Linked DNA regions of Caenorhabditis elegans. The protein of the gene in region 2 purifies or fractionates together with the protein of the main gene of each other region. This does not show direct contact. Each region holds a gene or a part of one and is shown on either strand. Other genes may lie near its edges. The genes, in order: ifet-1 and ife-5.

The links.
Region 1: the proteins of ife-5 (region 2) and ifet-1 purify together in Caenorhabditis elegans (affinity purification with western blotting, with the first as the bait; one study listed by BioGRID). This does not show direct contact.

What each region holds. Positions count from the first base shown.
Region 1 is NC_003281.10:4,469,595-4,478,226, forward strand, and holds ifet-1 (Translational repressor ifet-1), read right to left. Parts: upstream 5,557-8,632; 5' UTR 5,550-5,556; coding exon 5,377-5,549; intron 5,329-5,376; coding exon 5,138-5,328; intron 5,091-5,137; coding exon 4,987-5,090; intron 4,937-4,986; coding exon 4,851-4,936; intron 4,803-4,850; coding exon 4,693-4,802; intron 4,647-4,692; coding exon 3,807-4,646; intron 3,759-3,806; coding exon 3,211-3,758; intron 3,166-3,210; coding exon 3,085-3,165; intron 3,040-3,084; coding exon 2,970-3,039; intron 2,924-2,969; coding exon 2,841-2,923; 3' UTR 1,809-2,840; downstream 1-1,808. Other genes in the region: mstr-2 (Ubiquitin-like domain-containing protein), read left to right, coding at 1-233, 314-434, 758-892, 940-1,134; rps-3A (Small ribosomal subunit protein eS1), read left to right, coding at 6,353-6,475, 6,521-6,916, 6,966-7,220; ins-17 (Insulin-like peptide 17), read right to left, coding at 7,503-7,681, 7,780-7,927. UniProt on the Caenorhabditis elegans protein: Involved in translational repression of multiple mRNAs in the distal gonad. Recruited to the 3' untranslated region (UTR) of zif-1 by oma-1 and is required for translational repression of zif-1.
Region 2 is NC_003280.10:12,276,981-12,285,630, reverse strand, and holds ife-5 (Eukaryotic translation initiation factor 4E-5), read right to left. Parts: upstream 4,972-8,650; 5' UTR 4,851-4,971; intron 2,272-4,850; 5' UTR 2,269-2,271; coding exon 1,814-2,268; intron 1,761-1,813; coding exon 1,610-1,760; 3' UTR 1,492-1,609; downstream 1-1,491. Other genes in the region: Y57A10A.29 (Succinate dehydrogenase assembly factor 2, mitochondrial), read right to left, coding at 5,469-5,730, 5,826-5,923; tric-1B.2 (Trimeric intracellular cation channel type 1B.2), read left to right, coding at 6,252-6,365, 6,638-7,192, 8,073-8,200. UniProt on the Caenorhabditis elegans protein: Recognizes and binds the 7-methylguanosine-containing mRNA cap during an early step in the initiation of protein synthesis and facilitates ribosome binding by inducing the unwinding of the mRNAs secondary structures.

The DNA.
Region 1 (8,632 bases), on a different chromosome or scaffold from region 2:
ATTTTCCCAACTAACCAAGACCAACTGAGAAAGGAGATCAAAGGAATGCATACGGTACATCGTAAACCAAAGAAGATGAGTGGCATAGATGCAAATGCAAGTCTTTGGACACCGGAGAAGCAAATGGAAAATGAGTTCACTAGAAATCGAATGAAAACTTTGCTTCGCCGTAAGAAACACGCACCAATCTTGTCTGGAACACCGGTTGATTCTGAAATCGGATCTGCGCAAACGTGAGTTTTTGGAATGTTTCTCTGAAATACCGTGAAACGCTTGAATATTCAAAAAGCAGTTTTATACAAAGTAATTCCAGATTCTCGCCGGTTGCAACTCCTCCCGGAGAGTTGTCTTCGCCGTCTACAGTTTCATCTCATGTCAGCTCTGGAAGTGAACCGGAAAGTGATGCCGAGGTTGTTACCGAAAAAGAACTCAAGGTAATATGCCAGTTAAGCAGCAGACATTTGGCGGCATTATCCAGAAGGTGTGCGCCTTTAACATGTACAGTAACCCGCTCAAGTTATTTTACTATTTTCAAACACTCAAATGTGTGAAAGTATTTTTTAAATTTTCGGGAGGACTAATCAAGTTAGAAATTGCATATTTTCCCAAAAATAACGAGGAGTGGGTTACTGTACTTTTTAAAGACGCGCACTTATTTTTTTCTGCTTCGATTAAAAATTTCTGAAAAGTTTATTAGTGGCAAGAGTTTTGCGTGAAAAATATGAAATCTACGAAGATTTATTTTATTATATTACAGCTCTTCTTCGATCCACCTGAAACAATTGAGGAACACAAACAATGCCGCCGTTCGATGGTTCTTGCTCCGAGCAGCGAAGAAGAATTGCTTGAGAACTTGAAAAAATTCGAAGCGGAGAGAAAGACCAAGTGTAATGTAAGTGTTTCTATTGTATTTGAAATCAAAATAAAATCAAATTTCAGACTTGTTTCAAGAAGCTCTCCGCAGCTCAACAGACCATGCATTGCAAGTGTCTTAGAATCTTCTGTGATCGTCATCGTCATCCAAAGAATCATACATGTGTGATTGACTACAAGCAGGATGGACGGAACAAATTGAAGAAGAATAACTCGAAAGTTGGAGATGGCGGATGGAGAAAAGCCAAGTTTGAATCATAGGAAAAGAAGAATTAGGAATTAGAAGAACTCGGTTTTTACAAAATGAAAGAAATATGATTTTGAATGAATTAGTTTACTCGATTTTAAACATGAATCAATTCCACTAAAGACTTTATCTTGAAAATAACATTTGAATCATGGTTTCAGCAAAAACTTTCGACCACGGCAGGACTCGAACCTGCAATCCCCAGATTCGAAGTCTGGTGCCTTATCCATTAGGCCACGCGGCCACGAGAGCAGCACACCTCGAAAGGATATCAAATAGCAGGCACCACACTCCAACAGTCAACGCTCTCTCGGTGTTGTCTCTTAATGGTTAAGCAATTCGGCGTCTTGTAAATTTATAACTTATTTCTGGAATTTTTTATAAACTAGACTCCGAGATTCCTTGCATCAAATGCGACTCTTGGTTCTGGCACGACAGAAACTTTTCAACTACCGTACCTGTGAATACGGTAGGCTTATTAGTTTTTGCAACTTTCACAGGTTTTTCTTTCTTTTCTTGAAATAGTTTTAAATTCAAAAATATTTAACAACTAGGAAACGAAGAAACATCAATTATATTTAAATAGAAACCTAGACATATGTATTCAAACCCAGAATTCGGAAAAGGTTTAGTCGAGTCTTGCTAGTTCACTTTCCTTCTGTATTCGCCATGTATTGCAAAACCAAAAATTTAAAATCTTCTTCAATTATTCATTTTATCCAAATCCAAATCCATCTTATAGAACACATCACCTCTCATTTCTAAAATAAAAACGAAAAATGTGTCTACAAAAAACTGTTTGGAATGGTGAACTGCTTATGAAAAACGTGGCACAACATGGGAGGTGCACAAAAGGAGACAAAAAATAATGAGAACAAGAGTGGACGAGATCCAACAAAATGTGGACACCAAACTTGTACAAGTACAAAAACGTTTTAGGGACAATCTGATGTAAAATTGAGTGGGAGATGGAATTGAAAATGAGTGTACCCTTATAAAACTTTTCGCATTTTCGAGAGATCCTCTACGCATCCGACGGGATGCAAGAAATTCTCTACGAAGGTGTTTATACAAACTTTCCGAAGGGATTTGGGTAGATGTGAGGGGAAGAACAAGTGAAAAACCAGCTTACAAGAAAAGGGGAGGAAGAGAGAACAGTGTGTTCTAAAAGGCGGTAGGTTGGGGGAAAAGAAGTGAAATCATTGAGAATGGAGTTCTGATGAACTAAAAATGCAAATCATTCTGAATTCACTGAAGTTCGCTTTACAATCTATCGAGGTTCACTCGAGCAGCGGGGACCAATATATAAACACGTCGAAGATGCGTCAATATAACAAAACTTGGAACATAATTAGAAAAGTAAAAATTAAAAAAAAGGAAACAAACTTATTATGGGGCATTACGGAAACTATCAAGGGATCACCAACAAAGGTTGTGGGGGGACACCCCGCTGTTTTTTTCGATTTCAGTGAAATGCCGAACAACAAAAAACCGAAGAAAATAGCGACGGTAAAGCGAAATTTTGATGGGACACGAGGGAGAAAAGGACCAGAAAGAGATGGGATTATATGAACAAGAGAGAAGAAAAAAATAATACGAATACATGACTATGTGTACCCGCTTGGTGGATGGTAAGCGATAAACATGGTTGAATATATGTGAAGGTAGGAAAAACAAAAAAAAAGTTGCTATTATGAACTAGGGAATTAAACCCATATTTCTACTTTGGAACAGCTGTTAACTGTTTCTCGAGATCTTCCAGAGACATTGGACGGACCGACGATGGAATTCGATCTCCGGACCCTGAAAAAGTTAAATTAGCAAAAAATTAGAAAATTTTAGCACGAACCAGTGAATTGAGATCCCTGAACTCCAACCGATGCCAGCAGCTTCTCAAGCGGAGTTTGAATTGGCCCGACCTGCAAATTGGATATACTAATAGGCAAACGTTTCGATTTAAGCACCTGTGACAGCTCGGATGGAACCACAGGTTGGTGTTGTTGCTGATTATGACTGGGTCCCTGTCTCTCTTGCATGTTAGCCATCTAAAATTGAAAATATAATTTTGTATTGATTTAAAAAACGAGTACCTGGGCTTGCTGTTGTTGCATTTGAGCTATCTTTGCCATCAACATGTGCTGTTGTTGAGCACGGGACATCATCATCTTGAGGTGCTGCATTTGAGCTTGCTGGTGTTGAGCCATCAGCATTTGAACATTTGGTGGAAGTTGCTGCTGTGGATGTTGCTGTTGTCCGTTAACAACGCCGTTTCCGCGTGCCCATCCGACTCCAGAATTCATTGCCTGCACCATATTGGCATAGTTCTGCTGCATGTGCAATTTCTTCAGTTGGTTCATGGCATCAGATTGATTATGAGCGTCGGAAGTCTCTTGGTTGCTCTCTGGCGGGCTCTGACTCGTCTTTTCTTTCTTCTGATCAGCATTTGAGGAGCTCTTCTGCAATTGCCGCTGCACAGACGCAGGTATCATAGCAGGAGTGCGACCTTTGTGTTGATGATGCTGTTGTTGTTGCTGATGCTGCTGGATGTTCTGATGCTGTTGTTGAAGACTAACGAAAGTGAGAGTCTGAGACTGTAGGAAAGCCTTGTTACGCATGGATGCCATACGAAGTTGCTCATCTGAAAAATAATTCAATCATGAAATGTATTCAAAAATGCTTAACATACGAAGCTGTGGTGGAAGCTGCTGCCCATTGTTTGCACGAATTGCAGCATTGACTGCTTCTTGAAGTTGATTCTCGACATAGGCATTCAAAATCACTGGATTCTGTGCGAAGCTTGCAAGAAGGCTTGGATCTGCGATAATTTGCATTCCAGGATGAACCATAGGGTGATGCAAATGTTGTTGATGCTGTGGACCTCCATTTGGTGGTGTTGGTTGTCTATGATGATGTATGTGCTGACCAGACTCTGCTTGCTGTTTGGCGAATTTTTGCAGATGTTGCAGAAGTTGTGCTTGTTGTGATGGATCTTGCAATGGACTGACTTTTGAAGGTTCCTTTGACTCCATGCCTTTCTCCAAATCTTCCAACCGCATTCCTCCTTTTATATCACCAGCTCCAGAAGATGAAGCGTTGTTATCACCACCACTATGACCGAAAAGTCTTGCAAGCATTGGATTAGCCACGTTTTCATCGTTTCCGCCTCCAACTGACGAAAGCATAGCGTCCAATTCAGGGGACTTGTTCTTCTTTGCGAAGAACCGACTGAGACGACTAGTTCCTCCAGCAGTTTCCTCACTCTTGTGCGCCCAAGCCATATCGTCGCCATCGATCTTTCTTGATGTTTTTTGAATGTCAAGACATCCCAGAAGAGCCGCGAGTTCCTGATCCGTAGCCGGAAGAGCTCCTCCTCCCGAAGAAGAATAAGCAATTGCTGGATCGTCAATAGGTTCAGAAGTCTTGAGACCAGTTGATGACGGACGGGATCCAACGCACTCCACTGGCTCCGGAGCTTTCACAGCTTCTTTCTCCTTCTTTTCCTTTGGATTCTTTTTGTTCTTCACTTCTGAAAAGAATAACATTATAAAATAAATAGGAGACATTAGGAATACTTTTTGGTTCATCAAATCCGCGCAACTCAATCATATCGTCCATTGTAGTGGGACCGTCAGCCCATTCTGGCAGCTTCTCACTTCCGCTCAAGCTCGTAAGGCGTTCCTCTCTGAATTAGAAATATCAGCATTATTTTTAGCTACTACTCAATACTAACCTCCGTGGTGCGAATTTTGCCCCTCGTGTCGTATCCTTTTTCCATTCGGCTCCACGAGTACCACGTTCAAGCTGGTTACCTTTCTGCTGAAAAATGTTTGGTAAAACATGAAACATTATATTTTGAAACTGCGTACGAAGGATGGTTTGAAGTCATTTCCTCTCGAAGCAAATTTATCGGCACCACCGGTACTTCCGTTTCTCCAGTTCTTTCCATGCCCTCCCAATCTTTCGTACTCTCCTGAAAAATAAAGTTTATGATCAAACTCGTATTTCCAAGCTGATTACCGTCACGTCCTTTGTCGTCTGTTGGTGCTTTGCAGCCACTGCTAAATGCTCTCCGTTGTGGAGACAAACCCGTATTTTCATCAGCGCCAGCGCATAACGAATCAATTTTTTTCGACATCGGACGATTTTTAATTCCTTCGATTTCCCAACGGTGTTCAAGCCATTTCAAAGGAGAAAACTTACCATCTTCGCTGAAATTGTATTTTATGCAATTATATTTTGCGTACTGTACCACTAACCCATTGAAATCTTCTGAGAGGTTTTCAGGCCTCGTCATGCTTGCTTTGGTAGTTCTCAGTTCCATCATTCGTTCTCTGGTGTACGCTTTGAACGGTACCGTCGGAAGTGTGCCCCCTCCGAGAAGGGTTGAGACCATTGGGTGTAGGCCTTCGTCGTCTAGATGACTAGTCATATTTACACTGAAAAATCGAATGTCTATGATTAGTTATTCAACAATTAGCATTAAAATCCATCGCAGTCAGAAAAGAAGAGAATGCCAGCTGCGCAAGAACAACGTATCGCAATCGAGTTTATATCGATTTTTTGTTATGTCTAACTAAAAAAACGAAGCATAGCGATTTACCGCGCAGAAACTTATTTTGGCGACCAAAATTGATAAGAAGCAACTGAAAACCCATTAGAGCTGGAAAATACATAAAAGTTCTGGCGCTGCGCACATCTTCAAAAATTTAGCGCCAAAATTTGAATGGATTTGGTTTTGGCCTATTAATTTCCGATTAACGAGAGGTATGACAACTATTATAGCTGAAATGGCAGCTGAAAATGAGACGAATTGCATGCTTTAATTTTATTTTCGCATAATCTGGAAAGACGTCTGAAATAAGCGTAAGAACGAATGAAAACGGGTCTGTTTGAGAGAAGATGTCTCTCACGCGCTGTGACTACGGTAATACGCATTGTGGAGCGTCATGCGGAGTGTATGGCATACACTTGCGACGCAACTCGAGAATTGCAAATTTTAGGACTTTTCCGTGCCTTCTTTTTCCGTTTCCCTCCTATTTTTTCAGCAATTTTTGAAAAAAAATCAATTTTTCAAACAGTTATCCGTTTATTCAAGTGTTTATTAATATCTTATTGCAAACTCATGTGTCGAGTGGAAAATTCCGTCGAATTTTTAGCTTATACTCTCAATTTGTACTGTTAAATTATGTATTCCTATTTTCAGACACAGCTTGGCATCAATCCGCTTCAATCATGGCGGTCGGAAAGAACAATAACAAGATGGGAAAGAAGGGAGGTAAGAAGAAGGCCGTGGATCCATTCTCCCGCAAGGAATGGTACGACATCAAGGCCCCAAACATGTTCAACACCCGCCAGGTAACGTTTTATTTTGTTTTATAATTCTATAAATGCTATTTTCAGGTTGGAAAGACCCTTATCAACAGAACCCAAGGAACTAAGATCGCTTCCGAAGGACTTAAGGGACGTGTCTTCGAGGTTTCACTCGGAGACTTGAACAACTCTGAGGCCGACTTCAGAAAGTTCAAGCTCATCGCTGAAGATGTCCAGGGAAAGAACGTTCTCACCAACTTCCACGCTATGTCGATGACCCACGATAAGTTGTGCTCCATCGTCAAGAAGTGGCATACTCTCATCGAGGCCAACACCGCCGTCAAGACCACTGATGGATACACTCTCCGTGTCTTCGTTATCGCCTTCACCAAGAAGTCCGTCAACCAAGTCAAGAAGACTTCCTACACCAAGACATCCAAGATCCGCAAGATCCGTTCCGAGATGATCGGATGCATCGAAAAGGAGGTATGTAGCAAAAAATAACTAATGAAAGAAAACAAATTTTTTATTGCAGGTCACCGGATGCGACCTTAAGGAGGTTGTCAGCAAGCTCATCCCAGATTCCATCGGAAAAGATATTGAGAAGACCTGCTCCAAGCTCTACCCACTCCAAGAAGTCTACATCCGTAAGGTCAAGATCATCAAGAGACCAAAGGTTGATCTTGGACGTCTTCACGACTTGCACGGAGACTCCATCACCGTTGGAGCCGACGGTGAGAAGGTTGATCGCCCAGACGACTACGAGCCACCAGTCCAACAAGAAGTTTAAGTCTTATAATTTCATTGTTATGTCGCATTGCGATAAATGTTAAAATTAAAAAACTTCAAAAGTAACATACATCATATATATCTGAAAAATACAACTCAATTTTGTTAACGAAATATTTATGAGATCTAAACCCAACAAGCATGATTGGTGTGGACATACGGGATGGGATTGAGAGTGTCAAGCTGGCGCACGGTAGAACAAGATGATGGAAGATTCAGAGAAAAGAATTAGAAAATTGTTTTATTTGGAGTTCCAGTAAAGCGAGGGTAAAGTAGATCGTTTTTATCCAAAAGGATTGCAGATTGCGAAAATGTCAGTGAATTCACATCCCGTCTCACAGCACATATTCATTGTCCGTCCCAAAAGGCTGCCACCGCCGTCGTTGTAGTTTTCTGAAACACTCCTGCGTCGACGGCGCATTGGGCAAATCAAGTTGAAAGCGTCAAGGAATGAGGCACCACCTGTAAAATAACGACTTTAGACATTGAATTCCTAGAAATTAGAGTTATTTTTTGAATCAAAAAGCTAACTTCTTTCTATAATTCCTAAAATGAATTACCTGGTGGGCATAATTTCAGCGAACCGTGTTTGGCACGTGGTGGTCGGATAGTGTCCCGAGTGATTGGAGCCGGTCTAGAAAACAGCCCGAATGCGGCTACAGCAGCCATCAAAGACAGTAAAAGGAGTACCCCTCTGGTCGAGAACATTTGGATCACAGATACTCGCTTATGCCAACCGCGAGAAGCGAGTAACCGATTCTGAAATTAAAGATTTTTATTAAATTTTAGTTTTTAGAATTATAAGTAATTGAGAATTGTAGCATAACTAGATCCAGAAAAGTATTGTACGTATTTAAAGAATTTTGCAAAATGGGCGGAGTTTGAACACAGATGACAGCGGGAAATTGAATTTTTTAGACTTGAGCTTTTCGAACACTTAAAGCTGTTGTTGTTTCTCACATGAAATTCTTCTCCCACAATGCAAAGAGAAGCGTTAATTTCCGGGTTGGCGGATCCATTTTTAAAATGTCTTAATCGAAAACTTGTGAACGTGAACGAATTTTTGGATGAAAAAAGAAAAAAAAGAAAGGAGAGAGAGAGAATTTTCAAAGCAAAAAAATACAACTTTTTCGTCCGTCTTCAGTGTTTTTAAACACAGAATAGAGAGTTGATTAGATGCCGGATGACCAACACGTCATCTCTACAATTTTTTTTTCAAATCTCTTTTTAACCTAGTTTTTGATGTTAAAAAGCGAAGAAAAATAATGAAAATTTCAGATGTTTCAGGTTCAGAAGAAACTTTACTGCCGGATATTAACAGTTATTTTATTAATTTTCATAGTTTTTCCTATTATGGAGACGTAGAAAATTTCATTTTTTTAAATGGAGATGCAAGCGCGCTCCAATACCAAA
Region 2 (8,650 bases):
AAACATAGCGTTTAGCAAAAAAAATTGCAAAAAAAACGAAAAAGGAAAACAAAAACCAAGGGTGGCCGTATCATTTTGTGGATTTTTTTATATGGTTTTTCATGAAAAAATGGTCTATCTTTTTTTACGAACGGTTCAGGTATATTTCCAATACTTATCTGAAAGTTAGCCAGTACAGCGAACATTTTCACAAGAAACTATGTTTTGCTATCTCAACCCAGTTTTGAGTTATACCAAAATTTGGGGGTGGCCGTATCATTATGTGGAGCACTGTAGTAATGTAACAAGTTACAGAACCTACCAACTATGTCGGTAATGGGGAAGTTTGCAAAATTAATGATAGTGTAAAAAAGGCATTGAAGATGCAAAAATAGTACATTTCTTAATGATACCACTGGAATTCTCCTCAAAATTTCGAAAAATGGATAAATTTTAGCTGAAATTTTTCATTTTTTCATGAAATTTCAAATTTTGCCAACTGGAATTAATTTTTATTTGGATATATCACTTCGTATTGCATATTTGTATCGTCTATTTCATACTTTTGGGAGCACGAAGGTAATTTTTGAGCAAAATCTACTGAAAATGCACATAAATCAATGTAATAAACGACTGAAAGGGCTGAATTTTAAACTTTAAACTGAGGAAATGTTCGAAAATGAGTTATCAGTAATTTTTCCCTTATCAGCGACCATTTCGATGATGAAATCGCAGGAAATTCTGATAATTTATTCAATTTAATGGCATTTTTAGTGATTTTCAGCCATTTTCTAGTCAAATTTCCCGTGGAAATGGCAATTTTTCGTTCAAATAATCAAAAAAAGCTTGAAAATCAGCAAAACTGCTTCGAAACAATCGCAAAAATATCGATTGTAAACTCAAATTCCATAGTTTTTTCACGGGTTTTCTTCGTTTAAATTCGATTTTGGCCTAATTTCTTTGAAGAATTGACGAGAAATGGAGTTTTGAGTCACAAAACATGCGAATTTCATTCGATTTTCCCGTGGAAAACTGAATAATAGCTGAAAATGGTGATAGCAGCCGAGAAACATCGATATTAATGACAAAAATCCAAGTTTCCGCAAGAAAAATGCACTGGAAATCGAAATTCAGCATAAAATGAATGAAAAACAGAGCTATAAATCAACAATTCTGTAAAAATGGGCAGAAAAATGCAATTTTTTAGGCGAAAATCTATAAAAAACGCCTAAAATGATGCAAAATTCGGCGAATTCTCAGGATTTTTGGGGGTAATTTCAAGGAAAATGGCAAAAAATTCTCAAAAATGAATAAAAATTGAGGATTATTTGTGAAAAATGATGTAAAATTTTGCGAAATCGGAAAAATCGCGCGCGCGCGCAAAAAATAAAAATCTGAAGATTTTCGAAAAGTCGCTGCGAGACCCATGGCGCGCAAAATCGAAAATTCAAAATTTCAAACATTTTCGAGCGAATTTTAACGCATTTTAACGCAATTAAGAGGAATTTCCAAGAATTTGAGGACAAAAATCAAGTTTTTAATAATAAAAATCAACGGAAAACCTAAAAAATGTACAGAGAAATCTGGAAATCGGGGTTCTCAGGGGAAAATTGAGGAAATTACATTAAATTTAGACGATGGATTTCAATGAAAATTTGTATTTCAGAGCCGAGGTGGTCTTCTTCACGCAATTCCTATGTGTTTGGTAGTGAATCACGTCGAACAGTGGCTTCGAGTGTGCCTTGGATGCCGCGGCCATCAGCTTCTCCTTCAGCACAACTCTGGAAATGACGAAATTAAAAAATTGAAAAATTAAAAATTAAAAAATGCATACCCAATCCTCATATTAGTATCATCATCATTACAGTTTTTAGTCCAGACGCTGATCTTCGATCCCTGTCCTCTGACGTTACACACCAGCCCACAAATCGACTCCATATCCTTTCCGAATTGCTCGCCGATCAAAGCCAAGAGAATTTCCAGCCAAACGGCGTCCAACACTTCGGGAGTCTTTCCCTTGTTAATGATAATGAGCCAACGTCCACCATCCCAGTTTTCCGGAGCCTCCCATTTCGGCTGAATATCGTCACGGAAAACGTTGTAATCGCACAGATCGTTGAGGCCACTTGGTGGAAGGATAGCTTCGTAGAAAGCCCAGAATTCCGGTACGGTGTTGAAGGTGTACACCTTTTTCAGACGATCCTGCCAAGACGCGTTGCGATCATCGTTCAAGAACCACCACGACCAGTTCCGCTGCAGAGGATAGATGGGTGTCGTCAATTCAGTCATATCCTGGAAAAAAATTCGATTATTGAAATCAGTAAACAGAGAGAATTAATTAAAGGTGGTGTAGTCGAACTTTTTTAGTGCCTTAGTAGACTCATAATGGTCCAAAACTACCAAATTTCATAATGAGACTTCTCAAAAAATTTCCAAAATTTTTTTATGGCCAGTTAAAATTTCGAAAAAAGTGTTGACCGCCCAGTGTAGCGGGTTGGGGAGCCGCAACTGGGGTCAAGCCGGAAGAAGAGTCTAAGAGAGAACTGGCGTTTGCAGAGTGCCGAGCGAAGAGGAGGATAAGCGGTGTGAACGAGAGATCAACAATGGGGTACGGTCCTTGTGTGGTGAGATGTAGGAATAGACCGGCGTTTAGCTCAATCTATGGTGATTTCCGTACCCTGTACCGCCGGAACAGTGGCGAGCGGTTGGGTTTTGGAACGTTTGGTCTCAACCTGTAAAGAAAGCCGGTGTAAGTTGACGTCTCGAAAAGTTCCGCAATAAACGATTTTTTGTTTCATTTTTCCCGAATTAAAAAACATAAACTAGCCTTCGAATCCTTTGGCTTAGTGTCTGCCTTGAGGATAAGCGGTGTGAACGAGTAACACAAGATATTACCATGAAACCCCATTTATTAGCTAAAGAATAATAGAAAAGGGAACTGTCGATTAGGGAATAGTTATCATGTGTCATTAGCGGATGTTAGCATCTTCCGTGTAGGAACATTGCTATACAAACGGCTAAAGCGGTTGATAAACTATTAAGGGAATTTATTAAATATAAAAGAATTAATTTATAAAAGAAAGGAAGGTTCCGCTGGTGCGGTGACGAGACGAGTGAAGGGAGTTGAGGAGCGACTAATTTAGGCCAGCGAATTAGGATGAGCAAGGAGGGCGCGCGGTGAGACCCGCGGCGCACACTCGCTGCGAGACCATTGAGCTTGGCAGGAGATTCAAATGAGGGCGCGCGTTAGATTAGAGAAAGGGGGAGATAGAGCGACTGGAAGGAGCGGTTTATAGGTTTTCTGGTACGGCGAACACGATGGGAGTATTCGCGAGTGTCTCAGAGTACCAGATAGTTGGGAGATGGGACCATCTCACAACAAAAAGTGCCAAATTTTGCTAAAATCTGAAATTTCGCACACATTTCTTTTTGTCACAGCTGCTGGATTTTAGTTTTTCTAAAATTATCACCTTTTAACCCTTATTTCGATAATTTATCCTGCGGAAATTCGTTGATTGAGACAACTTTTAGGCCGATAGGCATCCAATTTTGATCATTTTTGGATGCCTATCGGCCTAAAAGTTGTCTCAATCAACGAATTTCCGCGAGATAAATTACCAAAATAAGGATTAACGGGTGATAATTTTAGAAAAACTAAAATCCAGCAGCTGTGACAAAAAGAAATGTGTGCGAAATTTCAGATTTTAGCAAAATTTGGCTCTTTTTTTTTTCGAAATTTTGACCGCTCATAAAAAAATTTTGGAAATTTTTTGTGAAGTCTCATTATGAAATTCGGTAGTTTTGGACCATTTTGGGTCTAAAAAATCAAAGTCTCAAATTTTGGTCCCCACCTTTAAAGGTGGACTACGCTCAGTGGGGAAATTGCTTTAAAATATGCCCATGGAACCACAATGACCGAATATCATAGTAAAAAATTCAAAAAAATTTTCTAGATTTTATATGATTTTTTGAAAATTGAAAAATTCTCAGTTTTCCCCCCTAATTCCTATTTGAATTTCCGCCAATTGAACTCGTTCGTTGGAGCGCGCTTGCATTATTTTAATTAATTAATTTTATTTATTCTTTTTTCTTATTTGACTGATTTTCTTCATTTTATATGTTTTTTCATCGGAAAATGAAAGAAATAAACAAGTCAAATGCGATATGTTTGTTAAAAAGTAACTGAAACTGCGTGAAACTATAAAATATAACAGTTTCAGGCATTTTTAGTTACTTTTTAACAAACATTTTGCATTTTTCTTATTTATTTTTTCGATTTTCTGATGAAAAGAACATATAAAATGAAGAAAATCAGTCAAATAACCAGAATAAATGGAAATTTTTTAATTAAAGTAGTGCAAGCGCGCTCCACCGAACAAATCCAATTGGCGGTAGTTCAAATAGAAATTAGGGGAAAACTGAGATTTCTTCAATTTTCAAAAAATCATATAAAATCTAGAAAATTGTTTCGAATTTTTTTACTATGATATTCGGTCATTGTGACCTCATAGGCATGTTTTAAAGCTAATAAAAATGGACACGTGGAACGAAAAAGTGATGCAAAACGGCGAGAAAAACCAGAGATTTTCAGACTGATCTCTGAGAAGCCGAAAGAAGAATTCTGGGGAAAACGCCAACTGTAATTGTGCCCTAAATGACGTGTCATTACAAGTTCACGGGGAAAATGGAATAAATTTTTAAAAGATAAATTTTCCAGAATTCCACGTTTCTTGCGTTGGTAGAGAAGCCGCGGGCTCTGAAAAACTAGTTTTTTGTTCGAAATTTACGTTTTTTTCTGATTTTTTTCGGTAAAAATTGAGGAAAATTGACGATTTCCTCTAGTTTTCAATGTTTTTTAACCGAATATTCACATTTTTGCATCAATCTTCTCTCCGGGGAACTGCTAAGCAGCGTTCCAGGCTCCTCAAATTTGTCGAAACACTGAAGAATCGTTGAAAAATTCGACTTGTCATGGAAATTTCGGCGGATTCTGCAAGCTTTTTGTTATTATTATTACAAAATATTGATTAAATATCATTTTCCGAGTTCTAAAACATAACATTTATAAAGTTTATTGCTGAATTCTCAAATAAAATGGAAAATAAGCATTAAAAAGTGTAAAAATGTTGAACAACGACGCTCCGAAATTCCACAGACGCGTGTTGTTTAGCGTAATAAGAATTAATTCTTTGAAAATGGACAGAAAAATGCGTTTTTTTTTGGTGAGAATCTGCAAAATCCAACGAATTTCGAGATTTTTTGGCCGAAAATTCATGGAAAATAGCAGAAAACTGTCAAAAATGAGAATTAAACAATTTCAAATATTTTTCAAGCGAATTTTCACGCATTTTTCAAGAAATTTGAGGACAAAAATCACCTTTTCATAGTAAAAAAATCAACGGTAAACCTAAAAAATGTACAGAGAGAAAAGGAAATTCGAGATTTTCAGGGGAAAATTGAGGAAATTCCGGCAAAAAATTATCAAATTATCATGATTTCGGCACTCGCTTGTCGTCGACGAACTTCTTGACTTTTTGGTAAACCTGACAGCTTTCCACGTCTTCCGGCGGGCTTTTCTTGTTGGAAAGATAGTAGAAGAGGTCCCATTCCATGTGTTCTCCGTTGATGAGCTTATCGTAGGCCTTCAGCTCGGGCTCGCTCATTTTTTTGAGGTTTTGCTCGGCAAAATCGCCCAGGAGAATGTCGTTTTCCAGAATTCCACGTTTTTTGCTTTGGTAGAGAAGCCGGGCTCTGGAAAATTAAATTTTTGTTCAATTTTTCCGGTAAAACTTGAGGAAAAATTAAAATTTCCCTCAGTTTTCAATGTTTTTTCACAGAATATTCACCTCTTTGCATCAATCTTCTCTCCGGGAACTTCTGCGCGTGTCAGACTCCTCAAACTTGTCGAAACAGTGAAGAATCGTTGCAAAATCCGGCTTGTCATGGGAATTTCGGCGGATTCTGCAAGCTTTTCGTTATTATTATTGCAAAATATCGATTAAATATCATTTTCCGGGTTCTCAAACATCAAATTTATAAAATTTATCGCTGAATTCTCAAATAAAATGGAAAATTAAATGCAAAATGCATTAAAAAGTATAAAAATGTTGCAACGACGCTCCGAAATCCCGCATACGCGTGTTGTTTAGCGTAATTAAAAAACCCAATTTTTTTCGATTTTAATTTTCAATTTCCCTTCAAAAATATTGATTTTCGCCCAATTTTGCTGTTTTTCATTACTTTTTTCGAATAAATATCCAATTTTTTCAGCTATGGGATGGGTTCCCGACGAGTGGAGCATCGATCACGACACACTAATAGATGCCGGAGGCTACGTACAAAAGCTGAAGCTCTATCCGTACTTTGATGCGGCGCATTATGTATTGGTAAGGTTTATATGTTGATAAAAAATGTGTGATTTTGACGGGAAAATTGCATAAAAGCTGGGAAATTCAAATTTTTTGCAAAAAACTGCCCGAAAAAACGAGGAAATGCGTGAATTCGTGTTTATAAAAACACCAGAAAAATCAGATTTTCTGGAGAGAAATTTGTCTATTTTCAAGAGAAAAGCCAGAAAACTTCCAATTTTCTTAGTAAAAAAATCGAAAAACGCTATTTTTCAGTAGATTTTTACCGAAAAACATGACAAATCTTGCAGACCTGCCTCTCCGTCCGCCACGACTTGGGACCAGACGCCATCTCATTCTCCCGTAAGCACCCATTCTCATGCTGGCTCTCCTGTATGCTCATGTCGTTCGCCGGCAGCTTCCTCTCCTGTTTTCTGCTCGGCGAGCCCATCATCTCACCGCTCAAACAGCACGCCGACATACTCCTCGGCTCCATCGTCTGGTACCTGGTGTTCTATTCACCGTTCGACGTGGTTTTCCGGCTCGCCACGTGGTTTCCCGTGAAGCTCGGGCTCTCAGTGCTGAAAGAGGTTCAACGGACGCATAAGATTGCTGCGGGGGTGAAGCACGCCGTCAGGATCTACCCAGAGTCTTATTTGGTGCAAATTCTTGTTGGAGTCGCGAAAGGAGCCGGCTCAGGCGTTGTAAAGATCGTTGAGCAACTGGCACGTGGCACATGGCACCCGACGAATCATGAAATTCTTCGGCCATCGTTTACCACAAAAGCGTGTGTTATAGCGTCTATTGTGTTCACTTTGGAACGGCATAGTATGTATGTTACGGCGCCACACGATTTGGTGTACTTGGTGAGTGTGGATTTTTTGGCTGAAATTGCTTGAAAACTGCATTTTTCGGTGAAAAACTACTGAAAATACGAGTAAATTAGCCCCGGAAAACTGCATTTTCAGCGGAAATCAACCGAAAATTGACCGAAAATCTTCAGTTTTAGATCAAAAAGGGCTGAAATTGCATGAAAATCCTAGAAAATTGGTCAGAAAAGTGCATTTTTCGGTGAAAAATAGCCGAAATATCCCTGAAAATCCGATAAAATTTGTCAGAAACCTTAGTTTTCAATGGAAAAAGGCTGAAAATAGTCTGAAAATCCAAGAAAATTGGTCAGAAAAGTGCATTTTTAGGTTAAAAATGACTGAAAATTCCAAAAAATTGGCCGGAAAACTGCAGTTTTAGATGAAAAAGGCCTGAAATTGCCCGAAAATCTTTGAAAAACTGTCCAAATTGGCAGGAAAACTAAATTTTTATGGTAAAAATGGTTGAAAATTGGCTAAAAATTTGAATAAATTGGCCGGAAAACTGCATTTTTCGGTTAGAACAGGCTGAAATTGCCCGAAAATCCAAGAAAATTGGCCAGAAAACTACAGTTTTAGTTGAAAAACGTGGATTTTCAGCCTACAAAAGCTCTAAAATTCGAAAAAATTGGCCAGAAAACTACAGTGTTAGGTGAAAAAAGGCTGAAAATCAAAGAAAATTGGCCGGAAAACTGCATTTTTGGGCGAAAAAGAAGCTTAACAAATGAATTTTATGTGAGAATTTCGATTTTCAGCCCAAAAACTCTACGAAATTGACAATTTTTTCTAGTTTAAGCCATAAAAAGTAGATAATTTACCTTTTTTACGAACAAAAAATCGATAAAACTTGAAATTTTAACCAATTTTTTCTCAATTTCAGTGCGTCGTCGGATTCTTCATCTACTTCAAGCTGGCTTCTCTGTGTCTCTCCGTACATGATGTTCTGATGCCTATTGAGAATGTTCTTTGTGCAGTTTTTATGGGCGGAATTATCGATGCTTTTGCAAAGTAATACAATAAAATGGAGGAAAAATCGAATTTTATAGAAAAAAAAAACGAAAAAAATCGTACAATTTCCGCCTAAAATTGAAGTTTTTCAAGCAAAAAATGCTAGAAAGCCACGAAAAATTGAATTTTCCATATAAAAATTTGAAAAAATTCAAAAATTTTACAATTTCAGCTCGAAAAATTCCATTTTTCATGAAAAATGCATGAAAAACGCAAAAATTTTTAGGAAAAAAAACTTGCAAAAATGTGATTTTTCGTTGCATTTTTCATATGAAAATTTGATGAAAAATCTGAAAATAATACAATTTTAGCTCGAAAAGGCGCTTTTTTTGAATAAAATCATTGAAAAATCTAGCAAAAATGCAAAATTTGGACCTAAAAATCGAAATTTTTAAAACGAAATATCTCAAAAATGCGATTTTTCGTATTAAAAAAATGTACAATTTTAAC